Linked DNA regions of Tamandua tetradactyla. The protein of the gene in region 2 interacts with the protein of the main gene of each other region in a pairwise test. Links are inferred from orthologs where the notes say so. Each region holds a gene or a part of one and is shown on either strand. Other genes may lie near its edges.

The links.
Region 1: the proteins of UBE2L6 (region 2) and ARIH2 interact in binary tests that used the Homo sapiens proteins (3 or more experiments, as listed by UniProt). The link is inferred for Tamandua tetradactyla from reciprocal best matches to the Homo sapiens genes UBE2L6 and ARIH2.

The regions. Positions count from the first base shown.
Region 1 is NC_135341.1:37,307,545-37,319,428, reverse strand, and holds the start of ARIH2 (E3 ubiquitin-protein ligase ARIH2), read left to right. Parts: upstream 1-6,681; 5' UTR 6,682-6,837; intron 6,838-9,588; 5' UTR 9,589-9,648; intron 9,649-11,884.
Region 2 is NC_135335.1:20,003,630-20,014,793, reverse strand, and holds the start of UBE2L6 (ubiquitin/ISG15-conjugating enzyme E2 L6), read right to left. Parts: upstream 4,292-11,164; 5' UTR 4,195-4,291; coding exon 4,168-4,194; intron 1,221-4,167; coding exon 1,125-1,220; intron 1-1,124. UniProt on the Homo sapiens protein: Catalyzes the covalent attachment of ubiquitin or ISG15 to other proteins. Functions in the E6/E6-AP-induced ubiquitination of p53/TP53. Promotes ubiquitination and subsequent proteasomal degradation of FLT3.

The DNA.
Region 1 (11,884 bases), on a different chromosome or scaffold from region 2:
TTTTCCCAGGGTGATTCCTTTCTGCATTTCCAAAGGCCTGGGCTGAGCTGCGAGTGCTGAGCTGCGAGTGCTGAGCTGACGTATGCTGAGCTGCTTTGGCTGCGCTAAGTTGAGCTTTCTCATTTAAGCACCAGCCAATTAAATCAAACATTGCAGCAGACACTCCTCCTAGCCAACTGCAGATAAAATCAGCAACGGATAAAGTTCACGTGCCATTGGCTCATGTCCACAGCAATAGAACCAGGCACCTTCACCTAGCCAAGCTGACACCTGAATCTAACTACCACAGTCTATATACCCCTAAAGACAGGGAGAAGCATCAAAGGAGGAGGAGGAGTTATAACAGAGAAGACAGGATTTAACAAACGAGTATCACTGCTGAATCATTCTATTGATATTTGTTTTAGTCTCTAGTGTCTTGAAGCAGTTAGAAGGAAAAACATAAAATTGTGGAATAGTAACCCATACCAAACTCTGAAATCCATTCTATAAAACTTGTTATAATGTACCTTGAAATTTATTGCTTTTTTGTATATATAATATATATATGTTATAACAATAAAAAGTTTAAAAAAATAGATCCTTCTAGACAAAATGCAGAGAACAGATATAGCAGAGCATTAGTCGAAGCAGGGAGACTAGTTAAGGGACTACTGCTCACATCCAGAGATCAGAAGAGTGGCTTGGTCTATACTGTGTGAATTGAATGTGGAATTTAAAAGGGAAAAAAATAGTCATGAATGATTCCTGAATTTGAGGCCCGAGTAAATGGTGAAAGATGGTGGCATTAGGGAACCGAAAAACATTGGAGGAATGGCAACATTTGGTGACAAACTTTGGTTTTGCTTGGGACATGTTAAATTTGAGTATCAATATAACACTAAATGGATATATTAAAAGGACAATTGTTCTACCCAGCAATTTGGGTAGAACAGGGCGTAAGGACTGGGAATTCATCAGCGTAGGGGAGGTACTAAAACCAAAGGATTGGATGATATCATTAGGAAGTGAGTATAGTTGGAGCAGAGGCTGAGAATGGAGCCCTCCTAGCTCTCTCGAGCAACACTCATCACAGTGGCAATTTCACATTTAACTACTTCACTAATTTTTGAAACCCCTACCAGATCAAAGCTCCTTGAGCACAGGGACTGTTATCTCTTTAGAGATCCCATTATATCTAACAATACTGGGCCTGGCCTTTAGCCAGACTGAAGGAACTGAAGTTATTTTGAAAGGTGATTTTACAGTATCTCCCATCTTCACAATTGGAGATGAGTATAGGAGTTGACTTACCAATTCTATTTCTATTAATATAATCGCCCCAATTTTCACAACTATGTGAAATAGAGTATATCCACAGGACTTCATTGTACCTGCATAGAAAGAGTCCTGGAAGGATGTGCATCAAACTCTGGAAAGTAGCAACAACCCTGGATTAATGAATGGAAGTAATGGGGATGTTCATATTACTTTTTTTTTTTTTTTTATGTTTTTAACAAGAAACTTTATTGAATTACAAATTTAAAAATGAATGACTTAATTTAAAAGTGGGAATAACTTTACTCCTTTCTTAAATTTACTCTTTCCAAAAATGCACTATATTTTTTAAGTGACAATGCAATAGGTTAATCTGTGAACTCACAAAGTAAAGATGGGCTGGTGGAAGGGGGCCAAATCTTACAAATATGGGTCTTAACGTGGATGTTCAAATATTATTTTCCATATTACATCAAACTGATATGCAACAAGAAATGGGAAAAAGGGGGATTGGAGGGGAGTGTCAAGCATGGACTGAGGTCTCTTTAGCAGCATCTGACAGAATGCAGATTGAGTGGGATAACATGTAGCCTTTTTAACAGTGGCCTTTCAGATGCACTGGAACAAGTGCACAATCAAGGAACCTGATAGAACAAATGTACACACCTCAACAAAAAGTAAAATTTTAACTGTAAGAGCTGTATAGAAGACAACTTGCACTACAGCCCATATCCAGTCTGTTCAACCTCATACAACATGTAAAAGAGAAAATCAGCAAATAAAACTAAGGGCAAAAATATTTTCCATCAACCTCCATATGGAAAGACCACAGTTTTAATGGCTTATACAATCCTTAAGCTTACTCCTAGGTCAGTGTGGATTTCCAAATCAAAATCAGATCTTGAACTGTTTACATTAACTACTCTATAGTAAAATGCTAACATTTTCTTCCCAGCAAGTCTTCCATGAAGGACAAAAATGGTTAAAAGCTTTCATTCTTCGCCTATGCAGGGATTTATGAAAAAAAACTAGGTCAGTGTGGATCTCCAAATCAAAATCAGATCTTGAACTGTTTACATTAACTACTCTATAGTAAGATGATAACACTTTCTTCCTAGCAAGTCTTCCTATGAAGGACAAAAACGGTTAAAAGCTTTCATTCTTTGCCTATGTAGAGATTTATGAAAAAACCATACTAAACTATGACAGCGTTCTTCTGCAAAACTAAAATCAATTACAAAATGAAACAGGCAAACAAACAACGAAACCCAACTAATTTCAACAAAGTAAAGTCAAGTTACCAAAAGTAAAATCTGTTAAGAACAAGTACATGTACAAGAAATTACAAGAAATGATGATCATGGTAGTTACAGATGCAAAATATCTAATTATCCCATGCTTGAGAACATAATAATTAAAATCAAATTCATATGCTGGTTCAAATATTATATATAATTTAGATAAGCTGGTCAAGTACTATTTGAATACACACCATATTTGATAAACCTAAAATCATATTACCTTTTCTTCTTCTCTAATATTTGCAGGTACATGCCAATATGGAAATAATCTAATTTCCACTTATGTATAAAGAGAAGAATAACATTTTTAGTGTAATGTTTCAGACTGTAAAAAAGATAAGGTATATTTTTCTTTAACAAGAAAAGAAGAAATCGAGTGCCAAAAGTTTAACTGATAAAAGTTTAATATCAACTTACTTATAAAAATGAAAGAAATATTCTGAAACAGATACCATACAATTATTATATGGTCTCCCTACTGCTATTTGAACATAGAAGGTGTTTAAGGAAGGGAAGTTAAGTCAAAAACAGACTAACCCAAGGGATGTATGCTGCTTTAAAAATCTGATTTGTCAGAAAACTAGTTGCTTGGCAGAGTTTTAAAACTAATTACAAAATCCATTTTCTTAATGGTCCAGACATCTTGCCAATTCTCTCAACTCAGCAGAACTTCCATCGATTTCCACATTCATTACAGACAACAAATGTTGTCATTGGTTCATCAGCACTACGGGTTTGTACCTGTGTGCAAGTACAGTTCTTCTTTTTATATTTGCCACATGTGAACAAGTCAGTCTGGGTTCCACCCGTTTTGGCCATTTGATGCTCTCTGATGGCTTCTTTGGTCAAGTTTTTCCGCATCTCTTTGAGCTCATCGCTAGCCATTTCCTCTGCTGTCATTCTAGCAAATAAGTCAGGAGGAATATTCCCACACAGTACATTTTTCCTTAAATTTGGATTCTTTGCATCCTTAAGATTTGATATCCTACTGCGTACTCTATTTTTGTATTTCATGTCTGTATTCCTTATTTCTTGATATATAGCTTCTTCAATTTGAGATCCTAATTCTTTCTCATCAGCTCCAATAGCAATGTAGTCGTCTCCTGTTCGGAGAGCTGCAGCAAGCATCTCTCTACACTTTAACCGTACAGAATCAGAAGTGCTTGGTGCCGGAGGAAAAGATGAAACATAAGTATCTCGAGCATTTGTCTCATCCTTTCTGCTGCTTACGCTGCCACTGGAGCTACTTTCTTCTCTTGCATCAGGGCTATTCTGCGATGTCATGGCAGGTTCTTTTTTCTTTTCTTCAGAGTCTTTATCAGTTGATGGTCCATCTAGTAATTTTTTCCAGGATTTGATGAGAGACTTTGCTAAGGATGTAACTTCTTCATCTGTACTCTGCTTGCGAATAGCATTAACTGACATTCCGATTCTTGTGGACTATAATAATTCCAGAGTCATGGGAATATTCTTAAGCTCTTTCAGCAAATCCAATGCTCCAGCCGCGTTTTTCTTCTGCACCATCTTGTCCATCTTCTTGGCGATGTGCACCACTTCGTCCTCCATGCCGCCGGCGAGAGGTCGCGGCAGGCCCGGTCTAGGCCCTTCCTCTCACAGCGAACCCGCGGCAGCCCATATTACTTTTGTATTACAATACATTTATACTATTTTAAATTCTTATATGTTGAATGTATCAAGTATATTGGTTATTAAAACCAATAAAGGCTTAAGATGGAATACACATACCCAAGAGCAATATATGCTAACATGACAGATTATATTTACAAAGATGATTGCATCAACACATATCCATCTCCTATGCTTTTCTTACAACATGATGTTGATATTTCTCCATTGAGGGGAAGGATGTATTCCCCTCCCTTGACCTAAAAAGGAAGATCCTTTCTAATCGGTTTGACCAATAGAACATAGTGGAAATGGTGCTGTGTGACTTCCAAGGCTAGGTCATAAAAAGTGACATAATTTCCACCTGCCTCTCTCAAGACATTTGCCTTTGGAACCCAGCCACCATGTTATAAAGCCTAGGACAAATGGAGATCATGATTTGTGGGGTGATCACAAATCATGTGGATGTGGGTGTGGGTGATTGGGCTAACAGCCTCAGCTAGGATCCCAGGTGACAGCCACCATGAACCAACAGATGCATGAATAATAATCCTTCAGACGACCCCAGCCCCCAGCCTTTGAGTCTTTTTTTGCAGGGGTTGTGATGGTGGTGGTGCAAGGGCTGGGAATCAAAGCCAGGTCTCCTGCGTGGGAGGTGAGCATTCTACCACCGAACCACTCAAGCACCCCAGCTTTTGAGTCTTAATACTGAGGCCCCATAGATTATGGAGCAGAAATACATGGTTTCCACTGCAGACCGATTGAATTCCAGTCCCACAAAAACCAAGACATGTTTCATTTTATATGTATTCTAATTCATCTATATATCTTGAAAATGGAATATCAAACATATTTGTATTTTATTCTTATCCCTTAAGAATATAGCACAAATACCTTTCCTTTTCAATAGATGCCTTAGAAGAGCATCATTTTTAATGGCTTTCCTCATCGAATATTTTACCATAATTGATTTAACAAAGTCTCTACTCTTTGAGGTTGGGATGCTGCAAACTTTTTACTGATAGAAACAGCATTCCAAAGCACACATATATGCAGTTGTGTTTAATCATATCCTTAATTTTTTGCTTAATTTTAAAATCATTTCCAGAGAAGAAGCTGCCACTAGTGAAAAACAATACGATCATCAGCATGCCAATAGATATTTATTTAATAAGATAAAAATAAAAAACAAGGTTGGAGCTATGCCATGAAGAAAATCACCCGTTAGCAGGAGAAAGACAGGAGAACAAATGAGGATAATACAAAGTTTAAGGGTTCCAACACACTGTACATGCTTGCATGTATTCAATTATGTGAGCTCCTCATTCCCTATTTTGCTAATGCAATAATTCCACAGAAAGATCGACTGTTTCCCTTCTATTAATTGAAGAGAACTTATTACCAGTAACCCAAAGTGAGAGCTTCGATTTGAAATTTCATTAAAAGAAAATATATTTCGGGTCTTTTGCTACATTATAAATAATTCAAATGGATATATTTTGTTAAAACAAAGGAAACAAGTACTCTGGATCATGGTGGAGACTTTTATGTTGCTAATGTACAAAACTGATACCCCCACAACAAATTATTATTTTCACTACAAATTAATTGGGTGTTTTTTTTAGTAGTTACACTGATTTCGATACGTGTTCTGAATTAAACTTGAAGCTGAAAATCATGTAGTTCTTGCAGGAAATAAGAGCCTCTTACACATTTACATATCTTGATTTGTCTGCACATTCACCGTTCGCATTAGTGGAAATGGGTGGGCTTGTTGTCTATGGATTTGCATAGCCAGGGAGGTTCCCTACCAATATCGGCTTCACGCAGGCGTTTTCACTGTCGTGCAGATGCAACTTGGGTGCGTCTCCGTGGCTCTACCTAATCCTAACACTTGGCGACAAGTCTCAGAAGGTTTTGGAAGTCATAATGATAGTTCCTACATTGTGAGAAACGTTGGACAGCTAGAAGAAAGTGTGCAGCAAAGAAGTTATGATTCAATCTTGTATGGTGAATGAGAAGCAGCACTGGGCGGCGAATAAAGCAAAGGCAGAAAAAGCGAAAGCCCAGAGATTCCCGGGCCACGAGAACACAGCCTCCACGCGCAGGCGTTGATTTCCAATTCGGCTACGCAGACTCAAAGATTCAGGTCTCCTCTCGACCAGAGCAGCTGGGAAACAACGGCCCTCTATCCACTGCACAGAAACCAGATACTGTGCCCGTGCCCGACACCTAAGTACTCACATGGTCAGAAAAACGCTGGTTAAAATTATCCCAAGGAGGCAGGACTGGTGGGCGCACGCGGAAAGCGATGACTTTGAACATCCCTCGGTAAACCGAACCCTCCACTATGTCCTGCGGCCAGACTTTGGGTCTGAGCGACCGGCTGTACCGATAGCAAGGCCGAGTACCCCTCACACCCCGCGACTGCGGTGACCCAAGGCGACCGCGGGGCGACCTCGGGCCGGAAGTGACGCAGCAGCGCCGAGTACTTCCGGAGCTGCAGGGACGGGTCAGCCGGAGGAAGCGGCGCGGACCCTGGCTGGCGTCGACTCGCTGCTTCCGCCGCCGCAGGTTCTCCACCCGACCTCTCTGGCCTGGACGACCTGGCCTGGCCCGCCTCGGCTCAGCAGTTGCTGGGCTGTGGCTCCCGGTAAGTGCGCGGCACGTGTCGAGGCCTTGTTTACTTGGGCGGGAGGAAGACTCCCCGCGCGGTTCCCGGCCGGGCCCGGACTCCGCCTTCGCCGCCGCCCGCGAGGCCTTGGCGCTTCCCGCCCATCGTACGTGGTCTGGACGCCCCCCCGCCGCCGGCCGAGGGGCCGGAGTGTAGAGAAAAGGCGGTAAAAGGCTACGGCCGGAGCGGGCAGTCACCCGGCACCTTTTCGCCCTTCCTTCTCCCGCCGTCGCCTCAGTTCCCGGAGTCGTCGGAGGCCAGCGGCTCTGACGAACTGGCACGAGCGCATCTTGGCCTTCCCCGCTGTGAGCGCCGAGGAAACGCGCCACGTCCGGGGGGCTTTACTCAAGTCTTCATGGGAGCTTTTGCAGTGCTGCCGGCGCGTTTTGTTTTTAACATACCCTCCCCCCGCCCCCGTAAAGGGTTCCCCCCCTAGCGCGAGAACAATCGCGTCCGCTCGAATATCCCAGCGACCGCGGCGCCTCGCAAGGGACTTGTGGCCCTGTAGCAGCGCCGCAGTCTCGCTGGATGCTGCGGGGCAAGCCACGCGGGAGTCAACTGTGTTCTCGGATGACTTCCCTTCTACTCAGTGTTGCTCTGTCCCATAGAACTTTTTGCGATGATGGACTTGTTCCATTCTTTTGCTGTCCAGTACTGTAGCCTCTAGTGACACGTGAGTTCATTGAGTATTTGATATGTGGCTGGTGCAACTGAGGAATTAAATTTATATTTAGATTTTGTTTTTAAATTAAGTTAAATTTGAATAATCACATGAGGTTAGTGCCTAGTGTATTGCACGGTGCAGATATAGACTAGGGTTTTGAAACTAAGTTGCCGATATTTTTGTGCCAAGTAGTTTTCTTTAGAGATGTAGACTTAGTAAAATACCAGTAAGTGCTGAATAAAATATCAGGAACAAGCATCGTCATATTCACCAGAAGTCTGTGGTTTTTTTCTCTGTCACCTTGAAACTGAGAAGTTTTCAGTTTGGATCCTTTCCTTCCTTGGTGGGGCCTGGCCTGGTGAGAAAGCCTAGGGTGGGTCTTCTGAACACTTGACTTTGGCTTTGGAGGAAAGTAATTTCTGTTAGTTTTTTTTCTATCCGGGATGTAGGAATATTTAAGGACTACAAAGAAATCAAAGCTTTGTCATCAGTTCTGTTAATAAGGAAATAATGTACTGAGTAAGATCAGAAGGTTAGCTTTTCTTAAAATAGAATACGGATATTTAACTTTGAAAGGATGAGAAAAGTTTTTATTTAGATCTGAACCTAGAATGCCCAATAACTATAAAATGGAGTTCTCTTTTTTTCCTGGGAAGTTTTTTCATCCTTTTGAATGTTTGTTGAGAAACTTGTGGGTAACTCCTAAACCCAGATGCTGGGGAGAAGCCCTGAGAATGTAAAAAGCATGTGCTTTTGTTGGTGTGATTCTGGAGGGTCTTTTGGTACCTTTGTGGACAGTATCATCTTCTCTGGAAGAGTGGTGGGGAGTTATGAAACCCCATAGCTCATTGGTTTGGTAGAGGATGCTGGGCAGTTGCCAACCGTGTAATCCTCTGCAAATTACTTAATCTTTTCTGAACTATAGCTTTCTCATTTGTAAGAAGGGGATGATAGCCACTTTGTATGGTTGGAAGATAGAATAAGTCTGAGTTGAAATTGGCTCTCATTAAGTGAGAGCTATTAGAGGTAATGCTTTTTATGGGCAGGAACAATATTTATGGATTCTTTTTCCCTAGAGCTAGTATCTTGGTTGAAAGTTACAGGTAAAAGAAAAGAGGGTGAAAAGATCGGTTGCATGTCCTCTATTTTTGTATAAACAGATAAAAATTAATCTTTTACAGTCGTTGTTCAGATTGATTTTTTCATTTAGTTTATATTTGCTTGTCTTTGCGTGAAGTATTTCTTTGCAAATTGTAAACTTTGATTTTCTCAGAAATCCTAAAGGATAAAGTAGTAGAAATAAAATTTGTAATTGAATAAGCAACAGGTAGATTTATTTAGTCTTTGATAGTGGGATCTATATCTATGGGGAAGTCAGCTGGCCCTGGAGCTTGTCAGAAGAAAGGTAGGTAATGGGTGTTAATATTGCATAGTGTGTATCTTATTGGGAACTTTTTTTGGGGGGGTACATTGTCCAGGAATTGAACCTGGTAGCTCCTGCAATGGAAGGTGAGAGCATTCTACCACTGAACCACCCATGTACTCCCTTTTTTTTTTTTCCTTTGGAAAACAGTTTTCATGAGTAAACTGAGCTCTGAAATATTAGCAGTACTCTGTATTAGAGTACCACAGTGGGTGACTTTACAGTAAAAGTACAATTTTAAATCAGTTATAACTTCCCCTGAAAAAAATCAAATGCCTTGCCTACTTCTATCAACATTTAGGATTGAGATTATATTAGTTAATTGAGAGAATCTGAAAAATAGAAATGTAGGAGCAAGGAGGTAGGCTTTCAAGCCAGAAGAAATTAGGTATCTATTTCTGACAGCAGTATCGCAGGTTAACTTATTGTCAGCTGCTTATTTTGAATATTTTATTTTTTTAGAAGGTAGTGTAATTCTTGTCAATATCATTATGACCTGGATTTGTTGGGATTTAAGAAAATAATGACTTCAGTAGTCTCTTTGGCCCTTTGTTACTGTACTTTTAAATGTTTTTGCTTTTTTAAAAATAAATTTACAAACCAAGGTACCAATTATAAATATGATTCTCTCTTTTCATTTTAGATGGAAATCATATGACACCGATTATTTGGGTGATGTCTTTTTAACAGATCTTCAAGAACTGTAGGTATTTGTAGTTCAAAGATGATCTCTTCTGTTAATGAAAAAATACCATAGTTCAGTTGTGATTAGGTGATTGTGCCATCTGGAATAATTTGTTAAAGGTCAAACTGCCAATATTATATATATTTAAATTTCAATATAATTTATTTTTTACTGTGGTGAAATATACTTAAGTCATTTTAACCATTCTAAGTGAACAATTCTTTGACTTTAAGTATGTTAACAATACTGTATAACTTTCACCACTATTTCCGGACTATTTTTATCATTCCATATCAAAACTCATCCTTATTTAGCAATAACTGCCCATTGCTCCTTACCCCTACCTCTGGTAACCACTATTCTGCTTTCTGTCTCTATGAATTTGCCTATTCTAAGTATTTCATAGTAGGGAAACTATACAATTTTGTCCTTTTGTGTCTGTCTGGCTTATTTCAATTGACATGATGTCTTCAAGGTTCATCCATGTTGTAGCATATACCAGTGCTTCTCTTCTTTTTACAGCTGAATAATATTTTATTTTAGGGATATACCACATTTTGTTTATCCATTCATCTGTTGAAGGACACTTGTGCAACTTCTACCTTTTGGCCATTATGAATAACTCTGCAGTATACATTGATGTACAAATTTTTATCTGAGTCCCTGCTTTCAATTCTGGGTATATAAGTATACCTAGGAGTGGAATTGCTGCGTTGTGTGCTAATAATTCTGCCCTATCATTAATGTGGTTTTTTTTGAGCATTTATAATTTATATATTAAACTTAGATCTACTGATATTTTAATAGTATAAAAAGTGGCTCTAAATGATTTTAGTATCATTCTTTTTTGGGGTGGGGGGATTGCATGGAGAGGAATTGAACCCAGGTCTCCTACATGGCAGGCGAGCATTTTCCCACTGAACCATCTGTGCACCTCCCATTTATTCTTAATCTTTATGTTATGGTTGTTTTTTTTTTAAAAAAAGATTCTCTACCTTAAATAGACAGCATTTACTTCTCATTTTATCCAGATTTGTTTATGTCAATTGTTTATATGTAACACTGAGTCTAAATGTTCTTGCCTTTTAAGATACTATTACCTTTTAGATTTAAATCACTAGTTAATATGATTCCATGCAAATGATCACTTGAAAGACTATGTATACAGAAAAATTAATGGGTATTTGCCAAAATCTTTTCTGAAACAAAGTTAGGACTGTTTTGCTTTTTTTATTGTTCTCTTTGCATTTATAGTAATTGAGTAACATTTTGATCTGGGACGATTTTTCAGTAGTTAGTTCAGTTTGAACTCTTTGTTTCTTCATCCTAAATAGATTCTAGTTTTCTCTAGCCTTGATCCTGCTAACATATACTATCTATATTTTTCCTTCACTAATGGGTCAGTTTTTTTTGCCTCTAAGTATTTTTAAAGGGTAACTCTGAAGGTAGAAGCCTTTGAAACTGAAAATTCAAATCAGTCAACTTTGCAAACTAGAGGAAAATATTAATTGCAACTCAGAAAGGTTAGGTGGCTTTTATTTTTCTTTACTAACTGCACTTACCCCTCGGATATCTGAGATTGATGTCTATGAAGCACTGTTTTTTTTTGTTGTCGTATGTATTATAGTGGGAAGGAACTATATCCCCATTGATGTGCTGGTTCACCACGCAGTGGGCCTTGATTAACAAGATTAATTTTTTCTTTTTTTAATTAATTTTTAAATTAAAAATATATATATAACAAACAAACGCAAACATTCTTAACTTATCATTCTGTTCTACATATTTATCAGTAATTCACAAAATCATCACATAGTTGCATATTCATCATCATGATCATTTCTTGGAACATTTGCATCAATTCAGAAAAAGAAATTAAAAGACAACAGAAAAAAATTCATGCATATCATATCCCTTACCTCTCTCTTTCATTGATCACTAGCATTGCAATCTAAATTTATTTTAACATTTGTTCCTCCTATTATTTATTTTTATTCCATATGTTTTACTCATCTGTTGATAAGGTAGATAAAAGGAACATCAGACACAAGGTTTTCACAATCACACGTCACTTTGTGAAAGCTATAACATTATACAATCATCTTCAAGAAACATGGCTACTGGAACCCAGCTCTACATTTTCAAGCAGTTCCATCCAGCCTCTCCATTACATCTTGACTAACAAGGTGATATCTATTTAATGCGTAAGAATAACCTCCAGGATAGCCTCTCGACGCTGTTCAGAATCTCTCAG
Region 2 (11,164 bases):
CAAATTCATAAAGTCAAACTAGAATACAGGTTACCAGGAGCTGGGTGGGGTGGGGAATGGAGAATTAATGTTTAATTGGTACAGAGCTCCTGTTCGGGGTGATGGAAAAGCTTTGGCAATGGATGATGATGGCGGCACAACTCTGTGAAAAGTAATTAACACCACTGAATTGTATATTTGATAGTAGATAAAATGAGACATTTTAGGTTGTATATAAGTTGCCAGAAAAAACAACACAGAACTGTGCAACACAGAGTGAACCCTAATGTAAACTATGAGCTACAGTTAATAATTGTCTTACCAAATTGTGGCAAACGTACCTCACTAATGCAAAATGTTCATTTTAAATGGGAACTCTACTTTCTGTGTGATTTTTTCTGTAAACCTACAACTGCTCAATTAAAAAAAAAATAGCTGTTGAATGATGGAAAAAACAACTGAATATCCTTGTTCTTAGGAAATACACATGGAAGTATTATATGTTCAAGGAGCAAGATGTGTGCGATCTACTCTTAAATGTTTGGAAAATAAATAGACAGGCAGATAGGTAAATAGATTGATGGTTAGATGGTCAGAGAGACTGAAATGGCAAACACGGCAAAATGCTAAACTGGTGTGGGTATTCAGAGGTGGGGTATGTTGTACTTCTCTGTATGAGGTTTCTATTATTTTGGCAGCTGTCCTGCAAACATCAAATTATTTCAAAATAAATTATATTTTTTAAAAGAAGAAAACACATTTTGGTTTTGGGGGGAGCAAATTCTACCAACCATGGACACTTGGAGCCTACCCCCCTACCCTTTGACAAAAGTCCAGGAGATTTTCTCTTTTTTTCTTTTTGGTGTTGTTTGTGGAAGGGGTGCCAGTTTCTGTGATGGACTTGGTGGCTGCAGCTTGGAAGAAAGTACCTCCCACTAAGTCCAAAGGCCTTTTAGCCTCTTCATCAGTCTGCTTGGATCTCAGAAGCAATCCATTCAGATGGAGACCCCTCCGCCAAGGAGCATTTCCAGTGAAAGGACACTAAGGGAGAGACGGTCCCTGCCCAGCCCTAACCCTCCCCGCCCACCCGTGCCCATGGGCTAAGCCTCCCCCAGTCCAAAGCTGCGATCCCCATGGACACTCACGGGCAGGAGAAGCATGTGCCACACCAAGACATTGGCGTCATCGCTGAACAGGTCCCGCACATACCGGGGAGGTGTCTTCTGAAGGTCCTCCAGTTCCTGCAGGGGGGCACAGCGAATGGACAGTTGGCCTAGTCTTCCCTACTTCCGTCCCCTTCCCTGGCCCCAGCACAACATGACACAGTGGACAGCAGAAGCCAGCAAAAGTAGGCCCCTGTTTTGAGTATGTGTCAGGCCTGGCGCTAAGTACTTGGTGAGAATTCTTTGATTTCAGCCTCACCACAGCTCTGTAAGTATGAGGTGCAGGGAAGATGTACATAACTTCTCTCAGATATTACAACGTGGGATAAAGCTCTCTCAGGAACCCTTTCTCCTAAAACCAAGGTACTTCACCTGTACCTCTTGCCCTCTTCCTAGAAAATCACTAGGTCCCAACTCCCCCACCACCCACCCTTCCATTAGCATCTGCTGAGTGCCCCACAGGACATGAGTGGATGGTGCTTATGGCAGATTTATGCAGCAAAAACTCCACCTGAATACACCTGAGGAAGGAAAATGACTCAGGCAGACCACAGCAGAGGAGAACTCTACATGCCAAGCTGAGGAACATGGGGGCAAGGAGTGAATTTGCCCCCGAAATGTGACCCAATCATCTGGATATCCGTGAATTCTCTCAACAATCATTTACTGAGCATCCTCTACTGACACTCGTCTAAGACAGAGCCCAGTCCTCAAGAAGTTCCATGGAAGAATGCAGGAAACATGAATGTGATTACATGGTAACATGAAATGGGGAAGGAGAGATGAGGAAAGCTGGGAGGTATCACAGAGGCTGCACGTTGTGAGCTGGGTCCTGCAGATTAAATAGGAGTTTCATGCAGAGAAGAGGAAGGGTACCAGAGCAAAGGGACCAGTTAGGACAAATGTGTACACTGCACCCCATGGAAGGGTAATAGTTACTACAGGAAAAGAGTCCCATAGGTATATAAGTTTGGGAAACACTGGGCTAAACCAGTTTCTTTACTGCAGGGTTTCCCAGAGCCTTTATTGTGGGTTATGATGTGAGCCCTTCACATGCAATACCTCTCAAACATATTTAACCAAGGAACCTTTTTGGGGTCCATTCCGTGCAACTACAGAGACTTAAAAAAAAAAAGATGAAAATTAATCAAAAGCAGGTCTTATTTCTTTGGTATACCTAGTTGGTATAAACCAGCAGTTTTGTCCCCTGCCCTCCAGGGGCCATCTGCCAATGTCTGGACATATTTTTGATTGTTATAATGGGGGGGGGGTGCTACTGGCACCCTGTGTGCATAACGTCCTACAATACACAGGCCAGTCTACTCCGGTGAAAAATTATTTGGTCCAAATGTCAATACTGATGGGACTGAGACTGGCAGAGAGCTCCCAAACGCAGCCCAAAGTTGGGGAAGAGTCCTTTAACCCCGTGATCCGTCTGAATTTTCTCTGTCCCCCTCCCTTCTATCTTTTAGCCCATCCTCTGTCTCTCGTCATACCAACCAACTGCTCCTGGTGCCTTCTGCATAAACATCATTTATCTTTCACCCCAAACTAGAAGGAGAATTTGCTACTACAAGTTCTCATTGAGTGTCTTGAAGCTCAAGTTAAAAAAGAAAAGCTCTGGAATGGACATTTTCCTGACTTTAACTGGGAACATTCAGGAATTGATGTGTTATGAGTTCTGCCAAATTTTCCCAGAAAATGTTGCAACCAAGCTAGGACACACAATTTTTTCCTGAAGCCAGTTCAGAAAATCACCTGATTTACAGAAAGAGAAAATGAAAGTACAGAAGTCACTCAAAGAGCCGGCAGCTCAACTCCCAGCCCCATCACTTCCTTACCGGGTGATAGTGAACAAGCAACTTACTCTCTCTGAGCCTCATTTCCCCATCTGCAAAATGGGGTGCTATTGCTTATCCCACCTGCTGGCCGTGAGAATGAGAAGAAATAACCGACCTGAACTGCCAGTGTAACAAACACTGGTTCCCATCTCTTTAGCACTCGGCTGCAAGAATTCTCCAGCCAACCTCCAGCCTACCTTGGGAGTTCAGTTCTTCCAGGCTGAGCCTGCTCTCAGAGCCCCATTCAGACAGCATCTTCTCCAAGGTTCCCTCCTTTACCCCCTCAAGCCTGTCCCTCTACTCTAAGGACTAGAGGACACTTCTGAGAGACACAAAGGCTGTGGGATGGGCAGCCTTACTTCACCAGGATTGCTTTTCCTCCCCCATCTATCTACAGTCCAGTTCCCCACTCGAGCTGGCCTTCTCCAGCTCGTGCCCCGGCCCCCTATCCTTCCAGAACACATGGCAAATTGTGTACCTGATTAGAATGAAAGCTCAGCCAGAGCAAAGATTTGTGCCAGCTCCTTCACCTCTGCCTCCCATCCTCCGATGAGATGACCCATAAGAGGCATTCAACAACATTGGTGGAACGAATGAATGAATGCACACCACCATCTCCAGGAGACCTCCGAGGTCACCTTGGCATCTTTTCCTCCCGAGAAGGCTCGGGGAATGCGGCCCGAAACTCGGAGTCAACATCTTACGTTTCCTTGGACTTTAATAAGAAAGGTAACAACCTAGGGGCGGCCACAGGCTGTTACTCGAAGGCGAGGACCTTGTCCCCTTTTATTCTCTGCTCATAACCCTCTTTTTCCGCCAGAAGAGTGCATGACACCAGGAAGTCGCCAAGGAACCCTGGCTGCAATTGTTCCCTCAAGTTTCTGGCAGGGGAAGTGAAACTGAAAGCAGCATCGGGATAGCCTGCAGTGGGCTCGTTCGCACTCTCAGCAAAGCTCGGCGGGGGGGAGAGCGACAGCCCCGCTCCGCATGGCCCACCCCCCACCCCCACCTCTAGCCCCCTCTCGCAGACGCACTCCTCCACTGGGGAGGGAGGCGGGGATAGCAGATTCAGCCAACCCTGGTATCCAGACAAAAATGCACCGGGAGAGCCGGGGTAGGGAGAGAGAGAGCGCGGAGGGAACCGGGCGGCCGCGGGAAAAGGGGGTCATCCCGTTGGGCGTTACCTTCGCCACCCGCTTGCTCGCTGTCATCTCAGGACCGAGTGTGAGGCTCCGGCGGAGTCCAGCTGCACAGTGCACCGGCGGGCGGTCTGGAAGCGCGCGGCCGGGGTGGGGCGAACTCCTCCTCCCCGAGCCCCGCCCACGCTTCGCTCCACCCCCCCCTCCACCCCCGCCCCGCGCACCCACGCGGGGGCGGTGCGCGGACTCCGCGGAGCTGCGGGGAGGCTGCCGAGGGGGCGCACCCGGCCCCGGCGCGGCGGGCTCGGGTCCCGGGAACTCCCGCTCTTTGTCCGGCGGGCCTGGGAGCGCGCGGCGGGACCTTGTGTCCGGGTGTCGCTGGGGGTGCGGGGGTGGGGCGGCTCCGTGCACCGGGCAGCGGGGGCGCGGGGCTGGGGTCCGCCCAGCCGGGTGCGGGTCCCAGCTCCTCCGCCGGGGCCGGCGCCGGGAGCGCCTCTGCATCGACCTCTCAACCCCTACCCCCAATACACTCTCGTCCTGAGCAAAGACAAGGGTGGTCGCTGCGCAGGCCAGCTCCGCGGCAGGTCTCCGGACGGCCCCTGCCCATCAAAAGTCGCCGCCCCTGGCGAATGCCCGAACCCCCATGGACAAGTTGTGTCCCCTCTCCGAGTCCAGTGCCTTGTCCCTAAAAGTAGATGGGGGGCCGCGTAGACTAGGTGCCCTCCAAGGGCCCTTCCCCCAGCAGCCTTGGACTCTCACTTGCTGACCAGTAGCTGGCGGAGAAACTGCAAGGACGCTGCTCCCAGACACCATAAGGGGGCGCTGTTTGGCTCAGTTTTCTCTCGCTTTGGGGGTTGGGCCGTCCATTTATTTGGTCCTTTACTAGGCTTCATGTATATCGTAAGTGCCAATACATGTCGGTTTGGAAAACAGGTGGGTGGAGGGAACCCCGAGACAAACTTCAGGAGTTTCCCCCCAGAGGGAAGGCTGCCTCCCTTCTTTTCTTGCTGGTGCCTCCACAACTTCAGCCTACTATGCACCCCCATACTCAGCTAGGAGTCTCCTTCCCTTTATGCAAGCGCAGAGACCCCTTTCCCCAACCTGAAGCCGAGGCGTTCTGGAATAGTAAGCCCTGAGCACCTAATAGCGTCCGGGGGGAAGAATTTCCTAGAAGTGGTGACACGCAGAGATTTCTTGGGAGGAAATGAGCCCTGCTTCCTCACCCTCTCCCCACTTCTGCCCAGCTGTCCATCAAAGGGAGTCTGGTTGAATCAATTATGGTACAGCCACACAGAGGAATATTAGGCAGCCGTAAACAAGAATGAGGAGGCTGGTTATGTACTGCTAGAGAATGTCCTTAAAGATATATTTTAAGGGATGAAAACAAAGTATAGCAGGGTGTGAAAATTATATTACCATTTGTGTAAATAAAGGAAAGATAATCTTTGCGTGTGTATGCCTAGATGTGTGCTTCTGTGTGTATTTCCGGAAAGATACAAGGTACAGGCGCAGTGAAGGTTTCTTGGGATGGCAACCAGGGGACTTGCATAGGAATGCAAGGAAACTTTTTTACAATAAACCTGATTTCCTTTTAAATTTTTGAACAATGTGAATGGACTACCCTTTAGAAAATGAAAAATGTTTAAATTGAAAAATAAATATTCTTTTTAAAACTGAAACTTGTTGACATTCGAGTTTTTATTGCTAGCTTCTGTTTTAAAATGTGGCTTCTTTTTGCATTGTGACTGCGTGATTGCAAAAACCTTGTGTCTGATGCTCCTTTTATCTAGGGTATGGACAGATGAGTAAAAGATATGAACAAGAAAAGAAACAAAAACTAGGAGGAACAAAGGTTAAATTGAGTAGTTTGAAATACTAGTGCTTAATGAGAGGGAGGGATAAAGGGTATGGTATGTATAAGTGTTTCTTTTTTTGCTTTTATTTCTTTTGCTGGAGAGATACAAATGTTCAGAAAAATGATCATGGTAATGAATACACAACTTTGTGATGCTATTGCTAGCCATTGATTGTACACCACAGAATGTTTTATGTTGTTTACAATAAAAATATTAATAAAAAATGTGTTATGGTAATATGCAAAAAAAAAAAAAATGTGACTCTTGGCAATACAAAGCCCAGGGTCCCCATTGACTGCCCTTTTATACCAGGTATGCACGCCCTCTTTGCCGCAGTCCTCACCACTCCCTATTCATCCCCACCTGGCCAGCTTCACCCTCTCTTTTAGCTGCCTGGCTCCTGGAAGGAATGCCTGCTCTGAAGTTTCTCGCCCTTGCTAACTTCTTATCTCTCAAGAACTCTCCTCTCCTTTCTCCCCCAGGATCAGGATTTTTTGTTTTCCGGGATGATTCTGGCTTCGCAGATGTAGGCGTGAAGCTGTCCTAGGAGGTATGACAGCTCCTCTTCCCCACTCAGGATGTTCCAAGGACTTCACAGGGTGAGGTTGGGGAGAGAATGTTGGCATTGTCTATCCCTAGATGAGGCGGGAACTTCCTTTCAGAGGGGGCTGTCTGGGTCAGATAAAGGCTCAATGACAGAGCTAGAGTAAGTCTCAGAGACTACCTGAAAAACAGGCAGGAAATATATTAATACATGAAAAAAAAAACCACGTTTCATGCACCATAGACAGTAGACATCTTACCTGTGTGTTTATGTAACTAAACTTGAAGGGTACTGAGGTGACTGATAGAGTGGTGATCAGTTGGGGAGGAAAATGATTTTGTCAGTTTACAGCACACCCTTTCAGGCTATCCAGGCTATTTCATCTTCTTTGAGCTTTTGTACAACTTGGTGAGAAATAAAATCTTGTAGGCCCAACACGGAGTCACCCATGCTAAGCCTCACGTTAGCGAAACAGTAAACTTAAGCTACTTACTATTTCCTGTAAACGCTGGGCTTGCCCAGGAAACCAAATTTAAATACGGCAGATAAGTTATCGCCAGCTAATCGGTTCCTAGCAGCCACCTGCTCCTCACTTCATAAAAACACACCCTCCACCCCACCTAAAATGGAAACTTAATGCCAGCCAATCCAAATATTTCCTCCCTTGCTTCCTCGTCTGCCCAGTAAGAGTTTCTCCCTTCCATCTCCTGGGGCCAGCTGGGGGTGGGGAGTTTCCTTTTACTTTCTGAATGGGGTGCTGCTTGATTCACGAATAGCTCAAAAAGCTGTGGGATCCTAAACTGCATGAAAAGTTTTCCTTTTATCATCAGTAAATTTTAGCAACTGATAACAATGCAAAATAATTCTTGTAGACATGCAAATTCTTTTCTCTCCAGTACAGGTTTAACCGACTTCCTCTCTGTTTTAGTTGTTAAAGCTGCTGGCATGTGATATACCAGAAACAGGACAGCTTTTAAAAAGGGAATTTATTAAGTTGCAAGTTTACAGTTCTGATTCCTTGAAAATGCCCAAACTAAAGCATCTAAGGAAAGATGCCTTGACTCAAGAAAGGTCCAGAACACCTGTCAGCTGGGAAGGCACATGACAATGTCTGCTAGCTTTCTCTTCTTATTTCATAAGGCTTCCCTGGGGGTGTTTTCCTACTTCATTTCCAAAGATCTCTGGCTATGTGGGCTCTGTTGGCTCTCAAGCTTTTTCTAAAATGTTTCCCTCTTAAAGAGCTCCAGTAAACAGCCCCACCTTGAATGGGTGGAGACTTAGCTCCACAGAAGCCATCTAATCAAAAGTTACACCCATAATTGGGTGGGTCACACCTTCATGGGAATAATAAAAAAGATCCCACACAGCAATACCGAATGAGGATTAAAGAACATGGCTTTTCTGGGGCACAGGACAATTCCAAACCGGCACATTCCACTCTTTGGACCCCCAAAAAGCATGTTCTTCCCAAATGCAAAATACATTCATTCCATCACAATAGCACAAAGCCTTAAACCATTTCAGTAACAATAAACAAATGCAATATACAGAAACGGTACAAAATCTCATCAAAGTCAGCTATAGACCTGGTCTGTCTTAAGGCAAAACTCTCCTCTGTCTGTGGACCTGTAAAACTCAGAACAAGTTACCTGCTGCCAATGTACAAAGAAGGGGTATTCATAGGATACATATTTCCTTTTCCATAAGGAGAAATTGGAAGGAACACAGGGGTCACCATACCCAAACAGTTCTGAAACCTACAGGGCAAACTCCATTAGATTTCAAAGTCTGAGAGTCATTTATCCTCAGAACTTTAGAAAGCAGGAGCCCCACTCTTTCCAAGGGTCTGCTCAGCAGCTCTACCCTCTCCAAACGCTGGTGTGGGGTTTGCAGTCTTGAAGGACACTGGGGAGAGCACCTTTTTCTCAGCTCTGCCCTTTCCGAGCATTGAGGCAACAACCAGGCTCTCTGCCATCTCTGGGGCACACGTTCAACCCTTCCAGGATAATGGGGTGGCAGCCAGGCTCTCCCCAGTCCCCCAGGAATGTGCTCCACCCTCTCCAAGGTCTGGGAGACAACTCTTCCAGAGCATCCAGCGGGGAGACTCACCCTCTGCCTTTGGGGCAAACTCACCCTCTCCATGTGTATAGATGGGTCCACTCTCCTTGCCCGACATTTCTTGTCTTCAAACCTTAGCTTCCATGGTTCTGCCTCTGAGGCTACTTTTCCTTCAATTTGTCCCTTTTCTGTCCCTTTTAATCCAGACTGGCAGTGGTTCCATTTATGCAGATTCTGCAACACTTTTGTTGATTTTCTATGTCGTATGAAGAGAATGTGACTATCAGACAATAGGATTTTCCAGAGATCCTTCCTGGATAGTTCCAGCTCCAATCCTGGCTTGTCCTGAAATAGCTGGCTGTTTCTATGTTTGGTTAAATCCTCATGTGAGTCACTATTCCCTGGGGTCTCCCTTTCTGGAAGCCCAGAATTTTCCAGAATAACAATTTCAGCTTTCTTTGCACACAGGAGTTCAGTGCTCAACTTATCTCTTTCCTGTTGCATTTCACTATAAGCTGCAAGGAGAAAACATGCTGCACTTCCTGCATTTTATTTGGAAATGCATCCTTTCTGCTTAAGTCCTTATCAGTGGTATCTTTAGAGTCCACATTTCTCCCAACAGTCTCTTCAAAGCATTTTAGGCTTTCTCTATCAAGTTCCTCACAACTCTGCCAGAATCTTCCCTTTATTCATTTAACAAGCTGCTCTAACATGTTTGGTATATTCAGACTGCAGCAGCACCCCACTTCTCTGATACCAAAATCAGTTTTAGTTTGTTAAAGCTGTTGGAATGCAATATAATGGAAATGGAATGGCTTTTTTTTTTAATGTAGAAAAAAGCTATTTAATTCATTTAAAAATAACATATTAAGCCCAGTACATGATAAAATAAATAACATGTTTTTATGAAATATTTTTCCAAAAAAAGTTTTGTTTTGTTTTTTTTTTTGCAATATCTCTTTAAATATGCCTCGGTAGAAGATAGCTGGGTTTTCATATCTGCTTCTGCATTCCATTTCCTGCAGTAGTCCTGTTTACCAAGGGAACTTCTAAGTTGCAGGTTTACAATTTTAAGGCTGTGAAGATGTCCAAACTAAGGCATCCAGGGAAAGATACCTTGATTCAAGAAAGGGCCAATGGGTCCAGAACACCTCTGTCAGCTGGTAAGGCACATACTGATGGTGCTAGCTTTCTCTTCTCATTTCTTAACGCTTCCCTGGGAGTGTTTTCCTTCTGCATTTCCAAAGGTCTCTTGCTTTGTGGGCTCTGTTTGCCCGCAAGGTTTTTCCAAAATGGTACCCTTTAAAGGGCTCCAGTAAGCAACCCCACCTTGAATGGGTGGAGACACCTCTCCATGGAAACCATCTAATCAAAAGTTACCGCCCATAGTTGGATGGGCTACATCGCCAGGGAAACAATAAAAAAGTTCCCACCCAGCAATATTGAATGATGATTAAAGAGCATGGTTTTTCTGGGGCACATGACAGTTTCAAACTGACACACCCTCCCCAATCCCACTCTCTGAAATAAAGTTTTGCCTTTGTTTACATATTCACTTCAATATTCCTGATCTATAAATGTGTCTGCTTTTGGACACTCTTTTGAATTGATGATAACATCTGGTTCCCTCTCATCAGTTAATGAGTAGAAAAAAATCTTTAACACATGCTTACTTTATATCTGTATAAGAGTCAAGATTTTACCTTTTTCTGAAAATCATCTTTGCATGGTTATAGACTAAGCTGGAAGCATGCTTAAGAAATTAAAAGAGTGGTTATTAGTGTGGGAAGGGAAACTGGGTATCTCTAGGAATGAAGCAGGAAGGAAACCTACTTTTCACATCTTGTACTTTTAGAATTTCATATTAGGCTAATGACTATCCCCTCAAAACTATAAGCAAATATAATTTTTAAAGACAAAAATAATTGAAGAGTAAGAAAAAAACTTAGTAATTAAGAACGTAGGATCACGGCATCAAGAAACTGAGAAAGCCTTCTTGACCAAAATGGGGAAGAGAGAAATAAAATAAAGTTTTAGTGGCTAAGAAATTTCAAACAGAGCCGAGAGGTTACACTGGTGGTTATTCTTATGCATTTTATAGACATCCCTTCTAAGTTTATAGTGTATTGGAGTGGCTAGAGGGAAGTACCTGAAATTGTTGGGCTGTATTTCAGTAACCTTGATTCTTGGAGACAATTGTATGAATATATAATGTTTACAATATGACTGTGTGATTGTGGGAACTTTGTGTCTGATGCTTCTTTTATCCAGGGTATGGACATGTGAGTAAAAACTATGGATAAAAATAAATAAATAAATAATAGGGGAAGAAGGGATAAAATAAACTGAGTGGATGGAAACACTAGTGGTCAATGAGAGGGAGGGGTTAAGTATATGGTATGTATGAGTTTTTTCTTTTTATTTCTTTTTCTGGAGTGATACAAATGCTCTAAAAAATGACCATGGGGATGAATACACAACTATGTGATGATATTGTGAGACACTGATTGTGCACCATGTAGAGAAAGTTTGTGTCTGAAGATTTTTCTCAACAAAATAATTTTTAAAAAAAGAACATGGAATC